Linked DNA regions of Macaca mulatta. The protein of the gene in region 3 interacts with the protein of the main gene of each other region in a pairwise test. Links are inferred from orthologs where the notes say so. Each region holds a gene or a part of one and is shown on either strand. Other genes may lie near its edges.

What was found.
Region 1: the proteins of CCDC33 (region 3) and NDOR1 interact in a two-hybrid assay, tested with the Homo sapiens proteins (2 studies listed by BioGRID and IntAct). The two-hybrid records come from large-scale screens. The link is inferred for Macaca mulatta from reciprocal best matches to the Homo sapiens genes CCDC33 and NDOR1.
Region 2: the proteins of CCDC33 (region 3) and ABLIM3 interact in a two-hybrid assay, tested with the Homo sapiens proteins (2 studies listed by BioGRID and IntAct). The two-hybrid records come from large-scale screens. The link is inferred for Macaca mulatta from reciprocal best matches to the Homo sapiens genes CCDC33 and ABLIM3.
Region 4: the proteins of CCDC33 (region 3) and ZBTB8A interact in a two-hybrid assay, tested with the Homo sapiens proteins (2 studies listed by BioGRID and IntAct). The two-hybrid records come from large-scale screens. The link is inferred for Macaca mulatta from reciprocal best matches to the Homo sapiens genes CCDC33 and ZBTB8A.

The regions. Positions count from the first base shown.
Region 1 is NC_133420.1:5,246,972-5,251,492, forward strand, and holds the start of NDOR1 (NADPH-dependent diflavin oxidoreductase 1), read right to left. Parts: upstream 2,920-4,521; 5' UTR 2,883-2,919; coding exon 2,748-2,882; exon of another isoform or gene 2,426-2,747; coding exon 2,348-2,425; exon of another isoform or gene 978-2,347; intron 1-977. Other genes in the region: TMEM203 (transmembrane protein 203), read left to right, coding at 3,237-3,647. UniProt on the Homo sapiens protein: NADPH-dependent reductase which is a central component of the cytosolic iron-sulfur (Fe-S) protein assembly (CIA) machinery.
Region 2 is NC_133411.1:158,102,732-158,107,063, forward strand, and holds the start of ABLIM3 (actin-binding LIM protein 3), read left to right. Parts: upstream 1-1,413; 5' UTR 1,414-1,574; intron 1,575-1,927; 5' UTR 1,928-2,014; coding exon 2,015-2,027; intron 2,028-4,332. UniProt on the Homo sapiens protein: May act as scaffold protein. May stimulate ABRA activity and ABRA-dependent SRF transcriptional activity.
Region 3 is NC_133412.1:52,149,320-52,153,951, reverse strand, and holds the start of CCDC33 (coiled-coil domain-containing protein 33), read right to left. Parts: upstream 2,955-4,632; 5' UTR 2,570-2,954; coding exon 2,549-2,569; intron 1-2,548.
Region 4 is NC_133406.1:208,334,701-208,339,138, forward strand, and holds the start of ZBTB8A (zinc finger and BTB domain-containing protein 8A), read right to left. Parts: upstream 2,920-4,438; 5' UTR 2,854-2,919; intron 2,637-2,853; exon of another isoform or gene 2,595-2,636; 5' UTR 2,494-2,594; intron 1-2,493. UniProt on the Homo sapiens protein: May be involved in transcriptional regulation.

The sequences.
Region 1 (4,521 bases), on a different chromosome or scaffold from region 3:
ATTAGCCGGGCATGGTGGCAGGCACCTGTAGTCCCAGCTACTCGGGAGGCTGAGGCGGGAGAATGGTGTGAACCCAGGAGGCAGAGCTTGCAGTGAGCCGAGATCGTGCCACTGCACTCCAACTTAGGCAACAGAGCAAGATTCCGTCTTAAAACAAAAAACAAAAAACAGAAAACATGCCAGGTTTCTCCCATCTTTTTTTTTGAGACAGGGCCTTGTTCTGTTGCCCAGGTCGGAGTGCAGTGGCCGATCCCGGCTCACTTCAACCTCTGACTCTCTGGTTCAAGTAATTCTCCTGCCTCAGCCTCCCGAGTAGCTCAGATTACCGGCATGCACCACCATGCCCAGCTAATCGTTGTAATTTTAGTAGAGACGGGTTTCACCATGTTGGCCAGGCTGGTCTCGAACTCCTGACCTCGTGATTCGCCTGCCTCAGCCTCCCAAAGTGCTGAGATTACAGGCATGAGCCACTACACCTGGGTCACACTCAAGACATTCTTAAAAGATGCTCTCGGCCGGGCGCGGTGGCTCACGCCTGTAATCCCAGCACTTTAGGAGGCCGAAGCAGGCGGATCACAAGGTCAGGAGATCGAGACCATCCTGGCCAACATGGTGAAACCCCATCTCTACTAAAAATACATTAGCTGGACGAGGTGATGGGCGCCTGTAGTCCCAGCTACTCGGGAGGCTGAGGCAGGAGAATGGTGTGAAGCCGGGAGGCAGAGCTTGCAGTGAGCCGAGATCGCTCCACTGCACTCCAGCCTGGGCGACAGAGCGAGACTCAGTCTCAAAAAAAAAAAAAAGAAAAAAGAAAAAAAAGATGCTCTCCACTCACTCACTGAGTTGCTGATCTCCTGTAACCTGGCTTGTCTCCCCACGAACCACTGAAGCTGCTCTTGCTGATATCACCAACAATCCCTTTGCCAAGAAATCCCATGGATTCCTCTCAGGCTTTATCTTACTCGACTTCTGTGCAGCTTTACATGCTGGAGCCCTTTCTGGAACACCCACTCCTCAGGCCTCTCCTTGGGGATGCTGCACCCTCTCTTCTAGCTGCTTGGTCACTCTCCTGCCCTCCTGGGCTCTAACGTTCTGGGCAGCCTGTCCTGTAGGGAGAGAAGAGCTTCCTCTTCTCACACTTCTGTATTGTGGCTATGTTAACACCTACCTCCCTGTGCCCCAGGATCTTCCTTGGAGCGCTAGTCCTACTGCGCTTCTCCACTTCAATGTCTCCAGGTTCCCTTCCTGCACAACCACCTATTCCCACCGTGTTCTCTTATTTCTGTGGATGGAACCACCATCCATCCAGAGCCCAAATCCCTGTCTTGATTCTGCTTGACCTCTTGAGTCTGTTCCATGTCCTGGGGTCTCTCTCTTCCTAACACCCGTGCAACGCGTCCACTTCTATCTTCTGCCACCACCTTAGCTCAGACTGGTAGCATCTCCTGCCTGTCCTGTGCATCTCATGGCATTATTCTTGCTCTCCTGCTGACCAGTGGCGGTCTTACTAGTGTAGGAACATGACTGGGTCACCCCTACAGTTCCGACAACCCTTCATTTCAAGCCCATCTGCCTTGCCGTGGTTACTCAGGCTCTTTGGACTGGGCCTGGCTTCCTGCCTCTCTTCTCCTCCCCTCTTGCCCCAGTGCACTCCTCAGCTTGGCCACCCTGAGCTGCTTTTCACTTTTCACACAAGCCAAATAATCTTTTTCCTCTGCACAGACTGCTCCTTCTTTCTTGGTGCCTGACTAGCCCTCACGCATTCTTCGGTGACTCAGTTTACACTCTTTTCTTCCAGAAACCTCTGCCTGGGCCCCAAGGCTGGGTGAGATAAGGCTCGATGCCCCTTATCAGTGCTCCTGTGACATATGCTACTTTCCCCAGCTGCAGGTGTTCGCTGGCACTGTCATTGCCCATTAGGTGCTTCTGCTACAGTATGAACTCTGCCAGGACAGAACTATGGCACTGGGTTCACAGCGGGATCCCCAGCACCAGACTGTGCCAAGAATGGAATATGTGCCTAAAAGATGGTCAGAGAATTCAGCAACGTTCCCTGAGAGTCATACAGTCTAGAAATACACAGAAGATCCAGACTAGATGCACATATAGATAGCCCTGGAAAGATAAGAAAGGTTAAAATGGATAATAAGGCTATTTGGTGGCTATGAAGCGTTTATTAGAGAGAGCAACTGGAGCCCCCAGCTCCACTCAGGGACGTCCTCTCAAATCCACCTCTGAAGATGCATGAGATAGAGGAGAGCTATTTACTGCACCTAGACTCCAGGCAATGAAAACGGGATGAGGGTCGAGGGCAGGGATCTGAGGAGCCACATCAGGCCAGCCTTACCTTCATGTTGTCAGGGGGGTCTCCTTGGCCTGTAGTTGCACAAACAAATATCACCAGGGGCTCGTTAATCAGATTCACCTCAACAAAAAGACACACACACGTAAGACCTCCGGCTGTAAGGACTGGGCGTCCTTCCCAAAACTCGACCCCCTTCTCCTTCACTCAGGCTGACAGGGCAGAGGAATTTATGTGAGCGGCCAGACCGTCTTCTCTTTCAGGTTCCAACCTCCTCCAGGTGCTAAACTGAACTCCTCTTCCCAAGCCTCCCCTTTCCCTAAATCCGCCATAAGGGAAAGACCCGCTCTCAGAGATAATGCGACGCCTTTTGGGTCGATGACCCCGAGAAGCGGGCACGCCAGGCCTGTTTGTCCCCCACGCCGAGGCCCTAGCTAGCCCTCACCACCGGGTAGGAGTCCAGGGCCTGCACCCGGCAGCCAAGCCGCCGGCGCCGGGCCTCGCGACCCAGTCTCTCCGACACATCCTGAGCCGTGCCTGTCTGGCTGCCAAAGAGCACCAGAAACTGCGGGTTCGGCATCTGGACGCGCCCGGCTCCAGGTCGGAGACTAAGAACTAGAAGGTAGATCCCGCCGGCCGGGATACAGGGACCGCTCCGCCTTCCGCCGTCGACCGGAAGTGACGCACTAGGGACGCGCCCGGTGGGGCATGGCGTCCGATCGAGGCGGGCGTCCACCGGCGGCCAGGGTTGAGTCCCGGGTCGGGGCCAGGGCATTGCCGGCGCACCAGGGCCGAGGGCTGGGGGTGGCGGGGCCGCTCTCTGCCTCTCGCTCGCAGCAGCGGCGGCAGGCGCGGGCGAGGGCCACGGGGAGAGGAGACGCAGCCCCGCGGGTGGCACGCTCGGCCGGGTCCCGGCCCGCGCTCAACGGGCGCGATGCTCTTCTCGCTCCGGGAGCTGGTGCAGTGGCTAGGCTTCGCCACCTTCGAGATCTTCGTGCACCTGCTGGCCCTGCTGGTGTTCTCTGTGCTGCTGGCACTGCGTGTGGATGGCCTGGTCCCGGGCCTCTCCTGGTGGAACGTGTTCGTGCCTTTCTTCGCCGCTGACGGGCTAAGCACCTACTTCACCACCATCGTGTCCGTGCGCCTCTTCCAGGATGGAGAGAAGCGGCTGGCGGTGCTCCGCCTTTTCTGGGTCCTCACGGTCCTGAGTCTCAAGTTCGTCTTCGAGATGCTGTTGTGCCAGAAGCTGGCGGAGCAGACTCGGGAGCTCTGGTTCGGCCTCATTACGTCCCCGGTCTTCATTCTCCTGCAGCTGCTCATGATCCGCGCCTGTCGGGTCAACTAGCCTCACCGAGGTGCCGGAGAGGGAGCGCTGGACGGCTAGAATGCTGACCTCAAGCCGAGGCCCTACTTGCGCCGCACCGGAGGAGAGGCTCTCTAGTCTAAAGGCAACTCCTGCTTGCGCCGAACTGAGTGCCCGGTTTTCCTATTTCAATCCTGCCTGAAATGGTTTCTTCAGCAGGGTTTAAAAGAGCAGCCTTCATCCTGAAAATGTATTTCTTTTTATTTAATGCTTTGAGTAGATAATCCTGAATTGAGGTCCTGAGGAGGCCCCCAGGCCAGGCAGTCCTGAACCCCTCTGACACTTGGAAGCTGAATATAAGTAAAATGTCCCGGTGGACTCTGAGTATTTCCTGTGGATCCTGGGAAAGTACTGTTGCACAGAGGCTGCAAAGCTGGACTCAGGAATGTCCTCCAACCAGCAGCGCTGACCTGAGAGCTCCCTGTGCCGTCCATCCAGACCAGACTTCGGTAGATGCCTTTGTTAGATCAAATGTAAACCAGCTTGTATCTCCCCTGTGCCACGAGAGATTGGCTTTTTATTCCAGTCTAGGCAGAGAGAGAAGAATGTTGAATAAGAGCACGATTAGGGTCCTGTCTGGTTATCTCTTGCCCACGAAAAGAGCTCTGCTGTCCAGGCACTGCTTGGTTTCCTATCCCAGCGAAGACTGCAGTTCCGTGGACCTTTTCACCACCTTGTGGCTGGCACTCTTAGCACACCTGAGACAGATTTAAGCCTCCCTGAGAGACTGAAGAGAGGAACAGGTGTCGGATACTCATAGGCACTGAGACCTACAAATGGGAAACTTGTGAGTGGCCCAGCTTTGTTGGCCTATGAACTTTGGTTTGATGCCAGTCAGGTGCCAAATGAGAACCTT
Region 2 (4,332 bases), on a different chromosome or scaffold from region 3:
CCACTTAGGAGTGACAACATGTGGACAAAATTCTTAACAAGCTATCAAATATGTTTCAAATCCATTGATCCTTAGGTTTATCTAAAGATTCTTTCATCCTGATCACCTCTCGAGGTCATGAGCCATATCCATTTTTTCCTCCCTGCGTGAGGTAGAAACATTGTATTTATCTAAAAGCATTGTATAAAAACATTGTATTTACCTTTCCCCAATTTTAATAGAGCAGCTATCTAATCTTACACTGACATCCCAGACTCTAGTGCACTGAGCCACTCTCACACAGGATCAAGCTAGAAGTTAGAAGATCTGGTCCGGTTCCGCCACAAGATGCTGTGTGTCCTAGGCCACGTTGCCCAGCCTCTCTGACCCCCTGTTTCCTTGTCTAAGCTGGGGCTGTGAGTGTTCACAGCCTTTTGAGTCTGCACATGCTCTAATTGGAGCCATGCTATAGAGAAGGATCATGTACCCTCTCAGTCTTGTTTTTCAGCACTCAAAAGTCACACTTCTATGATCATGAATTAGGTTCAGAAAGTGACAGAGTAAGTAGTCACAGGAATGTCAAGAGCCCTACCCCACTGAATCAACTGTGACCAAAAAACTTTGGAATATAAACTTCTACAATACACACCTATAAGATATAATTAAAAAAAAAAAACAAAAAACCTGGGGGAAGAGTTAGTTGGCCATACAAAAACTAGGGTGGACCTGTGAGGCCACATACCTGCTGTTCTCCTCAGATGGGGAAGTGTTTCAGGGTGGAGCGCCTAGGCAATCTACTCTTAGGACTGTGTAATATTAAACCCAGAAAATGTCTGGGTTGATCTGTCAACAAATATTCATTGGTAGCTACTATATGGCAGGCCCTGTTCTAGGTATTGGGGGCCTGTAGTGAACCCTACGGACAGATCCATTCTTTCGTGGAGCTAACATTCTCGTGGGGAAGAGAGGTAATAAGCAATTCTAATGATGAATCAGTGATAGGGGATAAAGGGAATCAGTGAGGGAAGAGGGGATATAAATGCTGGGAGGCTGAAGGAGCCCCTTACGTATCATCCACTTGTGCAGACGCCATATTCACAGTTGAGAAAGATGAGGCAGCGACGGTAGTGACCGACTTGAGCCTAGACTGCACCAAGCTTGCCAGCAGCAGGGCCGGATGGAAACTGTCTTCCTGCAAAGCCAGGCTTTCCTTCACAGCCCCTTCTAATGATGTTTCTTTTCCTATCATTGTCGAGCCCTTAGACCCCAGGATCGAGGGAGGGAAAACAAGCGCTCAAGCACCCCCTCGTTGGTCCCAGGACACAGGGTCTCGTCCATCCCCCATCACACCCCAGGGCCCAGGCAGAAGCCCGGCGGGGCGGGGCTTCGGACACGCGCCGGTGCGTCCAGCAGGTGGCAGCAGCGAGCGGCCGCGCCCCCCGCGCTGCCAACCCGCGAGCCCGCATCATGGATGTCGAGCTCTCCTATTTCGCATTGCTAGCCCTGGAATTCGAGACCCCAGACGAGGACCAGGATTCATGAATCAGTCGCAGGGGCCGGGGCAGGGGCCTCTGGCTCCCGACACTGGCCGAGAGGTGGGTTCCGGGGCGGGTCGCTGCTCCTTGAGGCCGGGCGGGGACGCGCTGCCCCCGCCCTGCCTCCCTGTGGTCCACACCCCCTTTGGGCTCCGGAGCCTCTGGGCAGGAATAGTCCGGGGTGCGCGCGAGCAGGCGCTGGCAACCCCACTTCTGCCCGGGATTCCGATCTGAGGAGCAGGAGGACCGGGGCGCCGGTGTCCTGCCGCCTCTTCCTCCTTGCTCTCACCTGCGCCTATTAGTCCACGCGCCTTCAAGGCCAGGGGCTACAGCCCAGACAGAGAGGGGACAGCAGAGGAGAGAGAGCACCTGAGGATACAGAGCTGGCACTGGACTGCCTTTTCACCCCCCAGGTGATGAGTGAGGTTCGAAGAACTGAAGATTTAAAAAGCAGCCGGGGCCTCCGTATTGAATGAAAGACCCAGTGCAAAGACATCACCATGAACACGAGCAGTAAGTGGATCCTCCTCTCCTTTGCCATGGGAACAGGGGTGGGGGCGGGAGGTGAGGGAGCCTGCGCTCGGGCTGCCTGGAAAGAGGAAGGAAGCCTGGCATCTCTGGACACATGACCCCCAGGCTCCTTTTTGGTGCTTTCCGTTCTCCTTGGCAGAGGGATAGCTTCATGACTCTGGTTTTTCGTGATAATTTTGCCAATATTTTATCAGCGGCTCCGGTCGCCTCTGCTGGGAAGGCTGCTTGTCTTCCTTCTAGCACTGCCTGGGAAGGCCTAGGAAGCAGTGTGTGGCCATTGTCTGACTGTGGGGGCTCTGAGGAGACCTCCCTGCACACATCTGGAAGGCACTGCCTGTCCCAGAGGTGGGAAGAGCAGGGAAGCTGGCCTGTGGGCAGGCGGGAGGGTAGGTGGGTGTGGGCAGGCAGTGGGCTGGGAAACCGCAGTTTGATAAACAAATCATCACCAGGCCACCTTTGGGTCTGGAGATTGTGAAAGATCCAGCTCCGGAGTGCCTGCAGCCCGGTGGGCCCAGGCACTGGTTTCTCTATGTACTTGCAGGCTGGTTAGTTATCCTTGAGAACAAGAGGACAGGAACAACCCTTTGGCCAAGGGCTCTAACATGCCAGAGGCAACAACTGCTTGCAGAGCCAGGACCAGATATTTTGCTGCCAGGTAGGGCCTCAGCTACTGAGAATGCAGTCCGAAATTCAAGAAGGCATAGTCTATTTCTCTTCAATGTAGCGCTGTGACCTGGGAGGGCATGTCTCGGTTCCAGACTCACTCTCCCGCCCTCTTGTCAGCTTGGCCTGTCTAGGTTATTCCAGCATCGCATGGGGCTGTTGAACCAGAGAACCCCTACAAACAGTCACTTTCCTGGGTCTATGACTTCGTTATCAGTCCCCTCTCTGCATCTCAGACTGCTCTTCTGTATGATGAGAGAGGTTGAATTAGAAAGCCTTCTAATCGGCTAGGCACCGTGGCAGATGCCTGTAATCCCAGCACTTTGGGAGGCAGAGGCAGGTGGATCACAAGGTCAGGAGTTCGAGACCAGCCTGACCAACATGGTGAAACCCTGTCTTTACTAAAAATACAAAAATTAGCCAGGCGTGGTGGCATGGACCTGTAATCCCAGCTACTCAAGAGGCTGAGGCAGGAGAATTGCTTGAACCTGGGAGGCAGAGGTTGCAGTGAGCTGAGATCGTGCCACTGCACTCCAGCCTGGGCAACAGAGTGAGACTCTGTCTCAAATAATAATAATAATAATAATAATAAAAGAAAGGTTTCTAATCTAAGAATCTACAAGTTTTTTTTCTTAAAAAGCTAGAGCTGAGCAACAAGGCCAGAACTATCAAGACCTTATTGAAGCTGTATCCAGCCAAAACCTATTTCTTCACACACTCCACCCCGCCCCCACCTCCATTTCAAGACTGTTGGCATAGAAGAGAAAAAAACAACAACAAAGCAAAAACTACTGAGATGAAAATTAAATATATTTATTTACTACATATTTGTATGATTCATCTCTCTGCTGTCTTCCTTTGTGTATTGCATATCTATGCTTAGCTAGCAAGTGTGGCTGGACTCTCTCTGCCTCTTACAGCCAAAGAATTTTGCCTTTTGATTTTGACAGGCTGGAATGGTGTTTTGGCTTCATACCAGGCTCAGGAAAAGAGGAAAATCCTGCAGCCCCTATCAGCTAGTGGGTCACATGTTTGCATTTGCATGTTTTCAGGCAAATAAAGATGTGAGTTGCCTGTCACTTCTCACTATCTCTAGGGGGAAAAAAATGTATTTATGAGAGTCCTTTCCCACTAAGTGGCAGAAGAGAAAGATGGCTCATCTATTTTTCAAGGAACTATGAAGAGAAACCGGCAACTGACTCTGCCCTTTTCTCTCTCTGGAATGCTAAGGAACTCTTGTCCTATTAGTAACACTGAGTATTCCTGAAAGAAGAAAACAGAGACTGTCCTTCTGAAAGCAAGAAAGCAAGAGAGAGAGAGAAAGAGAGAGAGAGAGAGAAAAAAAAGGAAGGAAGGAAGGAAGGAAGGAAGGAAGGAAGGAAGGAAGGAAGGAAGGAAGGAAGGAAGGAAGGAAAACAAGCACCAATAGAGTTGAATACTGACTGGCAAAAATGCCACTACTTTTTATAAGCAGGGAGAGTGTGTGTATTTTGCAGTAGTGGAAAATGAACAGAGGAGAATGACTCAGCAGCCCCGGAAGCCCCCAGGGTTCCCCCTAAGAGGAAATGCTTCTCTAAACAGACACCTGGGGGACACAGCAAGTGCAGAACTTTGGGGGCTGAAC
Region 3 (4,632 bases):
CTCAGGGCGTTTTTGGATCCATGTGCTGGGGGGAAGGGCTGGGGTGAGAGGAGGAGGTAGGAACAACAGGGAGTTAATGATCCTTGAATTCAGCTCCTGTGGGTGGGGTGGGGGAGCTTAACTTGGTTCTGGTGGGGAGAGAGATGGAAGGAAACAAACTCTTCCACCCACGCCTCCCTTGCCACCCCTCTCCTCCAGCAGTCTGGGAGGCCTGAGGAGCTGAGCCCGGTTCTGCCCTCCAGAAGGACCCTGCATCTGAAAAGTCACACCAGCTGGAGAGGGGCTGGGCTGCGAGGCAGGGTGCCTGACTGCCCGGATCTGTCATTTAGGCGAGTTATTTGACTGCAGTGGGGCTATTTCCCAGCAGTTTCACAAGGACTTTCAGTTAAAAATGGTTCCCCATGTTCCTTCTAGCTTTGGCATCTAAACTTGCCTGGGAGTTACGGTGGTCAGGGGAAAGCTCTTTTTCAGGTGAGGAAGCACACTCAGAGAAAGTAAACCTCTTGCGTGAAAGCACACGGCTTAGCTAGTGGGGCCGGGGCTGGAACTGGAAGCAGGGTCCGTCTGACCCCACGCTCTTGCTGTCTCTGCTGTGCTCTGACCATGCTTCCTTGGATGTGGGTCCCTTCTCTGCTCCACAGTGGATACCCCGTTGAACTCATAACCTGAGTATCCATTGGTGGCAGCAAGAGGAATTGTGTTCTTTGGAGCAGAGAAGCATTCCCAAAGATGACACAAAAGTCAGAAATCATTAAAAAAGGATAGGTTTGATTACATTTAAAAAATCTATACAAACTTCTGTAATGATCCAAAATGCCCTGCAATACAAAGAAAAGGAAAAAAGGAGAAAATGTTTGCTATATATTTAAAAAAGGATTAATATCCGTAGTATACAAAGAGCACTGAAACCTATAAGCATTACCCAATTAAAAAAACATGAACTGGGTATTCACAAAAGAAGAAACACAAATATATATATTATATACATGATGAGCATCCTTTTTTTTTTTTTTTTTTTCTTTTGAGACGGAGTTTCGCTCTTTGTAGAGACAGGGTTTCAACATGTTGGCCAGGCTGGTCTCAAACTCCTGCCTTGGCCTCCCAAAGTGCTGGGATTACAGGAGTGAGACACTGTGCCTGGCCAACATCATTTTTTTTTTTTTTTTGAGACGGAATCTCACTCTGTTGCCTAGGCTGGAGTGCAGTGGAACGATCTCGGCTCACTGCAACCTTCATGTCCCAGGTTCAAACTATTCTCCTGCCTCAGCCTCCTGAGTAACTGGGATTACAGCTGTGTCCCACCAAACCCAGCTAATTTTTGTATTTTTAGTAGAGACGGGGTTTCACCATGTTGACCAGGCTGGTCTTAAACTTGCCTCAGCCTCGCAAAGTGCTGGGATTACAGGCGTGAGCCACCCCCCCGGCCATGATGAGCATCCTTATGGGCGATTCTACCCAGCTATCAAAGTGCTTCTCAAAGCTACCAATCAAAGCAACCTTGGCTCCTTCTCAGGACTCCCACGCACACTCCCTGGATCCCCAATCCCAGCTATGTGGGGCAGGTGGGGACCACCTGGCAGCTTAGGGTGCCAGATCAAACTGGTGCCTGGTCCTGAGTGTGTGGCATTACAGAAAGAGTCTTAATGGGGAGGGTGGAGTCTGCGGAGGTTCAGGGGCAGCTGTGGGCAGAGAACATCAGGAACCAGAGACATCAAAATCAAGGGTAATAAAGTGGAAATCACACTAAGGCCTGAGCACCCCCAGCTATTTGGCTTATTCAAGCTGAGTATAACTACAAAGAGGGTATTCCCCGTTTGCAAGTACCGATGTGCCTTTGGTCTCAGCTCCTTCTGGTATCCCTGTGGGTAACACCATCTAGGGCAGGGGCTCTGCCTTGCTAGTGAGAGGAAGGTAAGGGGTCCCTTGCACTGAACTGTTTATATCTCATTGCAATAAGATTCTAGTCCCTTCCTGGCAGAACCCTGCTGCTAGGCCACAGCTTTTTATTAAGCACCCACTATGTGCCAGGCACTGTTCTGAGTGCTGGGGATACAGAGATGAACAAAACACACAAAAATCCCTTCTCTCCAGAGACCCAAGCATCTGCGTTCCAGGGCAGGGGCCTAGGCCCCAGAAAATCAGGGCCAGGGCTAGGAGAGCATGGGGGCAGTGGGGGCATCAGGGCTGCCAAGGTAGCAGCCTGGGAATATCCTGGGAGATATTGGATGGGGGTAATGAACCATCTCAGTGGGCTCTCAGACTGTGTGACCCCAGCAACAAGAGGGCAGAAACAAGCAGGTAAGGGTGGTCAGCACTGACAACACCCGCAAGTACACTGCATTCCAGTTCCCACGTGGCCCAAGAGTATAGGGCAGCTAACCTGGGAGAGCCACAGAGACCGCCTCACTCCCCATTTCACAGCTGTGAAAACTGAGGCCCAGAGAAGGGAAGCTTTTGTCATGATTAAGGAACAAATGAAACTTTGAAGGAGAGACTTTGAAGGAGGGATGGATTCATGCAGGTGTGTGGCCCATTCCCCTGGCCTTACCTTTTTGTTTTTCAGTCCCATCCTCTTGAGGCCAGGAGTGTCTGGCCTTGTTTAACAATCTTGGGGACGAGTACCTGGTATAAGTGGGTGATCAGGCATCAGTCCTGCCCAGACAGTTGGCCTGGGCGTCTTGGAGTCCTTATGGTTAGTGGACAGTATGGAGGTCAATGTGGTCTCAGGGGTGCCACACACCAGCCCTGGGGTCTGGATGTTGGGGAAGGGGGAGGGTGGCCAGGTGGGGGCAGGTCCTCGATCTCTCAGCAGCAAGATGGTCTATGGGTGGAGGGGCCTAGGGGGTTGCAGGCCATGGCCAGTTGGACAGGGTCAGCAACGAGGCGATTGACTCTTGGCACTCCCAGGACGGTGGAGAGATGGGAGAGCCCTCTCTCTGCCCAGGCCTGGAAAAGCAGTGAGCTTTTCCACCTAGCTGGGTCACCTGGGCAACATTGTGTGATGTCACAGGGCAGGGCCAAAGTCACACAGGCACCTGTCCAGGTGCAGTGAGCTAGAACACGAATCTCTTTTCCCTATTCCTGGAGCTGTGTTCCACCTGCCGCCTGGCACTCAGGCCTCACCCTTCCTGTTCTTGGTGCCTCACATAGTCTCCACCGACCCTGTGGCATGGCCAGCCCCATGCCGCTCACACTGCAGCAAAAGAGGAAGCCAGACACTGCTCTCAAGAGCGTGGCAGCTTGATCGGTAAAACAGCTACTTCTGTTGAAGAATCTACCAGCCATCGTGCCTCTTTGGGTACCTATAGTCTTCCATTTATTTGATAATAATAAACACAAACTTCAAGAGGATGGTTTCTTCTGGGAGGGTGGGTGGGAAGATGGGGGAGAGAAGAGGGTAAGAGCATACATTCTAAACCTTTGGGTTTTTAGATTGGGTGGTCAGTTAATGGGAGTTCATTATATTATTGAAAATAAATTAGAATTAAACAACTAAAGAAAGCCATGATGGGCCAGTGATGGCACTAGAGTATGAACCAAAGATTGTGGTTCAGTTCTGAGTGCTGCAAGAAATTATTACGAAGACAAAGTATGTCTTTTAGTGGAGCATTTGCAGCACACCAGGCAGGGTTCTAAGTGCTTTTGGTGAGGTGAGATGGCAGAATGAGGAGAGGCTAGTCGTTGGCCTGGGGTGGGGAGTTGTTCTATAGAGAGGTGAGGTCTGAACTGGGCTTTGAAGGATCATCAGAAATCCTGGGCTAGAAGAGGAGGGATCTGGGGTGCTGGGTGGTGGTCAGAGGTGTTTGGGAGGCCCCTGTGGCCTGCCTCATTTCTACCTATTTTGGGCCCCATGTTGGAGATTCTTTTAATCTGGCCGAAGAGCAGGACCAGCCTGGCAGCCAGGAGGCAGAAGACTCCTGCTTTGCAGAGGCCTCCCAGCCTCCCTCTCTACCCCCCCTCCAGAAAGAGCAGCAGCGAGGATGTGGTTCTCCCCAGGTTAGAGACAGAAAAACTGAGGCTTTGTCTTTGATTAGAACTGAAAGGACCAGCCAAGACCACCCAGACACTGGTGGGAGATGGAAGTCGGGAACCCCACTCCTAATTTTCTCCCCGTCTAGGCCTGCCAAGAGTGGTACCGCTGGGGCTCTGGGACTGGGGGCCTGACCAGGAATGGCCTGGCTGTGAGCACTGTGCTTTATCTCCCTTGTGGGCCAGCATGTCCCAGCACAGTGTGTATGTGTGGAAAGGTCTCAGGGGCTGCTCCCCCAGTCTCCCTAAAGCACCTCTCTCCCAGCCTCTCAGGCCTGCTAAGTCTAGGAGGCTAGGCCAGCAGGGTGAGGGGGTGGGGAGCCATTGCTTCTTCTCCAGCAGCAGGACTAAAGAGGCAAGCCAGGTGCCTAGGAAGCAAACTTTAAGGAAGCACTCACTCTCAGGGCTATGGGAGCGCTCCGTTCCTGACACAGAGCCTCCTCACATTTTGCGCCCTGGCCACCTTGCCTGCCTCACTGTGGTCCCTGCCCTGCCCTGCAGCTCTGCCTCAGTCCCCGGGGCTCTGGGCTGTCACTCAGCTATCCTCCCTGGCATCTGAGCTTTCTGTCTCTGCAGCCACACCCGTGCCATCTTCCTGCCTGG
Region 4 (4,438 bases), on a different chromosome or scaffold from region 3:
TATTGCAACAGTATCACCTTTAGGAGGTGATTGGGCCACGAAGGCTCTGCCCTCATGGATGGAATTAACGCCCTTATAAAAGGACCTGAGGGAGTGAGTTTGGCCCCTCTTGCCCTTCTATCCCTTCTGCCACGTGAAGACACAGCAGTCCTCCCATCCAGAGGATGCAGCAACGCGGTGCCATCTTGGAAGCAAAGAGCAGCCCTCACTAGGCACCAAACTGCCTGGACTTCCCAGCCTCCAGAAGTGTGAGAAATAAATTTCTGTTCTGTGTAATTACCCAGTCCCAAAGTATTTTTATAGCTGCACAAATGGCATGAGACAGAAAAGATTTAGAATAAAAACACTTAAGAGAATCAAAACTATAGTTGGGGAAAGCCTCATTGAGAAGATGGTATTTGGGTAAAGTCCAAAGGAAGTAAGAGTCATGTGGGTGTCTGGGGAAACAGTATTTCAGGCAAAGGGAAAAGCAAGCGCAAAGGCCCTGAGGTGAGCAGCGGGGAAGCAATGGGATATGGAGTCAGAAAGGGAAAGCAAATCATGAGAGAAGTAGGACATAGTGAGACCAGATGCTGTAAGGCTGCATAGACTATTATGGAGCTTTTGGCTTTTAAACTGCGTAAGATGGGGAACCACTGACCAATTTTGAGCACAAAAGTAACAAAAGCTTCATTCAAGGGAATCAAACACATCAAATCCTTTAAATATGATTAACATATCATTGTGTCACTGAGTTAAATCTATTAGACATAGTTGTATCTAAAAATTAGATTTAAATGATACAGGATGAATCAATATTACTCTATCTTACAAAGTTTTTCATGGCCTCAAATCATTATCAACAGCAAAGCTGGTGATTTCAGGGCTTGGAGATAAGGGTTAGTGGCTTGGCCTCCTTCCTGGAGTCCCTACTCATTATGCCTCCTGCTGACATTTTTGAGCACAATCCACCCAGACACCCATTTGGTCAAGGGCCCTAAGCCAGATTCTCACTTCCCAGTTGCCACTTGTGTGGCCAGAGAGGTTCCCAGGAATAAAGACATCTGATCCCTGCTTATCAGTGAGGGGCTCTTGCTCCAGTCCACAAATGCATCCATACCTGAGGCATGGAGGAGATTAAGACTGGAGCAGAAGCTTGCTGGGGATTTTGGAGGCGTTCCTGAAAAAGATCAGTTAAGGTTTTCAGTGCAGGGAAGCGCTGTGTAAGATTGGCCCTTCTAAAGACTCCTCTGGAGGTACCTTAGGAGGGAAGGCAGGACGGGAACAGGAGGTCCTGGGTGGCTATGTCACCCTGGCCTAGAGGTGAAACGCCATGCTTCACACGTGTTCCCTCATTTGCAAAGTGGAATTACCGTCAGCCTAAGTGGTTGTTTTATGTGAAATTAAGTGAAATAATTCATATAGGTGAAAGCACTCCATTTAAAGTTGTGCAAATATAGAGGTTTATCAAGCATAGTGATACTGACGTGTGGTTAGAAGCCCACCAGGTGTGTGTGTAAATCTACCGCTTCCAAACGCGTCTCAGAATGATGTGGAGTAGGGCCATTGGAACAATCAGCGATAAATAAGCGCATCTGAAGGGGAAGGGAACAAGCCGCTGACTAACTCACAAAAGAGGCGGTCAGCATGGGTAGAGATGAGCATGTACGGTTCCGTCCAGAAGCAAATAGTTGGAGCTCAACATTGGTTAGGCGCGGTGAGTTAGCCCTCGGTTTTCTAAGCCCAGATGTCGCATCTTGACATAAAACCAAGGATGGAGGCTGTACCGAGAAATTCGGGCTACTGCCCTGGGAGCCAGGCTCACCGGCAGCGCCCCTGGCCGCGCCCGCAGAGGCTCCGGCTCCGGCCCCGGCCCTGCCCTCCTCGCGCGCCCCCCCGGCGGCCGCCCGTTTTTGCGCCGCGCAGCCCGAGCCCCTCCGGAGTCCGCGGCGCTCGACGGCTCCAGACACGCCCGGCGCCGTCCCCGCCGCCTTCCCGCCGCCGCCGCCAGGAGGCTCCGCGCGCCTTCCCGCCTTTCCCCGGGCCGGGCCGGGCGGCTAGGCGGGCGCGGGCGGCGACGGCGCGGCCATTGTCCCGCAGCCCCTCCCGGGCGCGCAGGAGGGGCCGGCCTGGCGGGCTGGGCGGCGCGGCCGGGCGCGGGGAGGGGCGGCCGGGAGCCGGTGCCCACCAACGCCCGCCGCCGCCCCGGGCTCGGCCCGCCGCCGCCGCCCGCGCGTCCTCCGTGGCCGCCCACAGCCCCTCGGAGCCGGCGCCGCCGCCGCCGCCGCCGCTGCGCCCCGGGCTGCAAATGGCGCCCGCTCGCCTCGGCGCCTCCCGCCGCGCTCCCGGCCCGGGGACGTCTTGGTGAGGCGCGCCCAGGGCCCGCATCTCAGCACCGCCGCCGCCCGGGCCGTGAGAGCCCGCGGCGCCTCCGCCCGCGGCCAGGCTCGCGGCGGGTCCCGGGCAGCCCCGACGCCCGCCCGCCCTCCGCCGGCGCCGCGCGCCGCCACTTACCGCGGGCCGCGGCGCACCGGCCGGTCGCGCGCGCGGGCCGGGGGAAGATTCTTGGTTCTCGGCTGGGGAAGGACCCCCTTTCGAGGCCGTTCCTTTGCGCCCTAAAACAAGTAGCCCCAACGTGAGAGAAACAAAAGGTATTTGCTGACGTGGGCGTTGGACAGAAACGCCCGAGGGCTGGGGACACAATTAAAGGGGCAACGCACAGATTTCAGGCACCAACCAGCAGCTTCGCCCACTCCCCCTGCCCTTGCCCACACCCGCTGCACGCTCCAGAGGCACCGGGGTGCCCAGATTCTCTAGCAGTTGACTGCGGATCATGATTTTAGTCAGGAGCTGAAATTTAAAATTGTACTTTACGTTGGGAAAGGCGCCTCCGGAGGGCAGAAGGGCTGGATTTCTAGGATCTGGGGAATTTGGTTTAGGAAAGAGGGAGGGACTTAGGCGTGCCCACAATTACTGTATAAGTACATGTGACATTATTGTACTTAAGTTTAGCAACGTCAAATGCAAAAGATTTCCACAGAGTTTTCTCTTGTATTGAAGCAGTTGTTTTAGTTGAGGATAACCTTTTCTAAACCTCTACAGGTCAGAAGCATTTCATTTGAAGAGGAAAACCCAGAGAAGCTAAGAGAACATAATTCCTAGTTTAAGTCCAGAGAAATACAAAATTAGTAAAAACAGCAAGTTCCGTCTTTTCCAATACAAGCATTCATTGTATACCAAGCTTCCTCTGACAAATTTACATCTCTAATATTTAGAGTACAGATATCAGGTTATACATTTGCTAAAATAGTAAATCAGTGGATTTTCACTGTTACTATAGATGCATTACTTCTATAAATTAGTTTCCTAGTTCCTTATGCTGGGGTCAGGTACTGAAAAGTACTGTGTTATAGTAAAACTGGAGGAAAAAGGTTCAAATTATCAAAACTTGGGTTTAGCTTTTAATGGATTCCTCTCCTGTTCATAATCAGTCATATTGGACAGTCTGTAACTTTGATTTCAGGAATAATTATGCATTTTGAGGATGCAAGATCTTCACAATTGTCTCTTAATGTCACTTCTGTGTCACTGCAGAGGTGCTTTGCTATTTAGTTGTGTTTCCTTGCCTTCTGAACAGGTAAGTAGAAACATATTTGAAAACCATTAGGTATCAGGTATATTGGATGTACTCAGATTACTCTGCTAGCGCCCCCCATTGAGAATTCCCCCAGAAAGACCTGGACATGGTTATAGCCAAAGGTTTGATTTTAGCCTTAATTAAAGATTAATGCAAAAGAGTTCCACAAACTTATTCCTCAAGAGAGCACATCAGGTTGGTGATAAACTCTTAGTTGTGGCCGGGCGCGGTGGCTCTTGCCTGTAATCTCAGCACTTTGGTAGGCCAAGGCAGGCGGATCACGAGGTCAGGAGTTCGAGACCAGCCTGGCCAACATGGTGCAACCCTTCTACTAAATATAAAAAGTAGCTGGGCATAGTGGTGCGTGCCTGTAATCCGAGCTACTGGGGCAGCTGAACCAGGAGAATGGCTTGAATCCAGGAGGTGGAGGTTGCAGTGAGCCGAGATCGTGCCACCGCACTCCAGCATGGGTGACAGAGCAAGACTCCATCTCAAACAAACAAACAAACAAACAAAAAACTTTGTTGCAAGGAAGAGGTAATGACAGTTTTGTCCCTCATCTTCATTCTGCTAGCTTTGGGAGCTTGTTTCTCTATGTTGGGGCTCCATCATTAACCAGTGCTAGTCTCTTAAACTCTGACTGCCACCCTACCCCACCCCCATCCCTGTTTCCACCTCTTCAGTTCAAATCTTGAGGAAGATAATCCATTCCAATTTTTTTTTTTTTTTTTTTTTTTTTTTTTTTTGAGACAGAGTCTCCCTCTGTTGCCCAGGCTGGAGTACAGTGGCAGGATCTCGGCTCACTGCAACCTCCACCTCCCA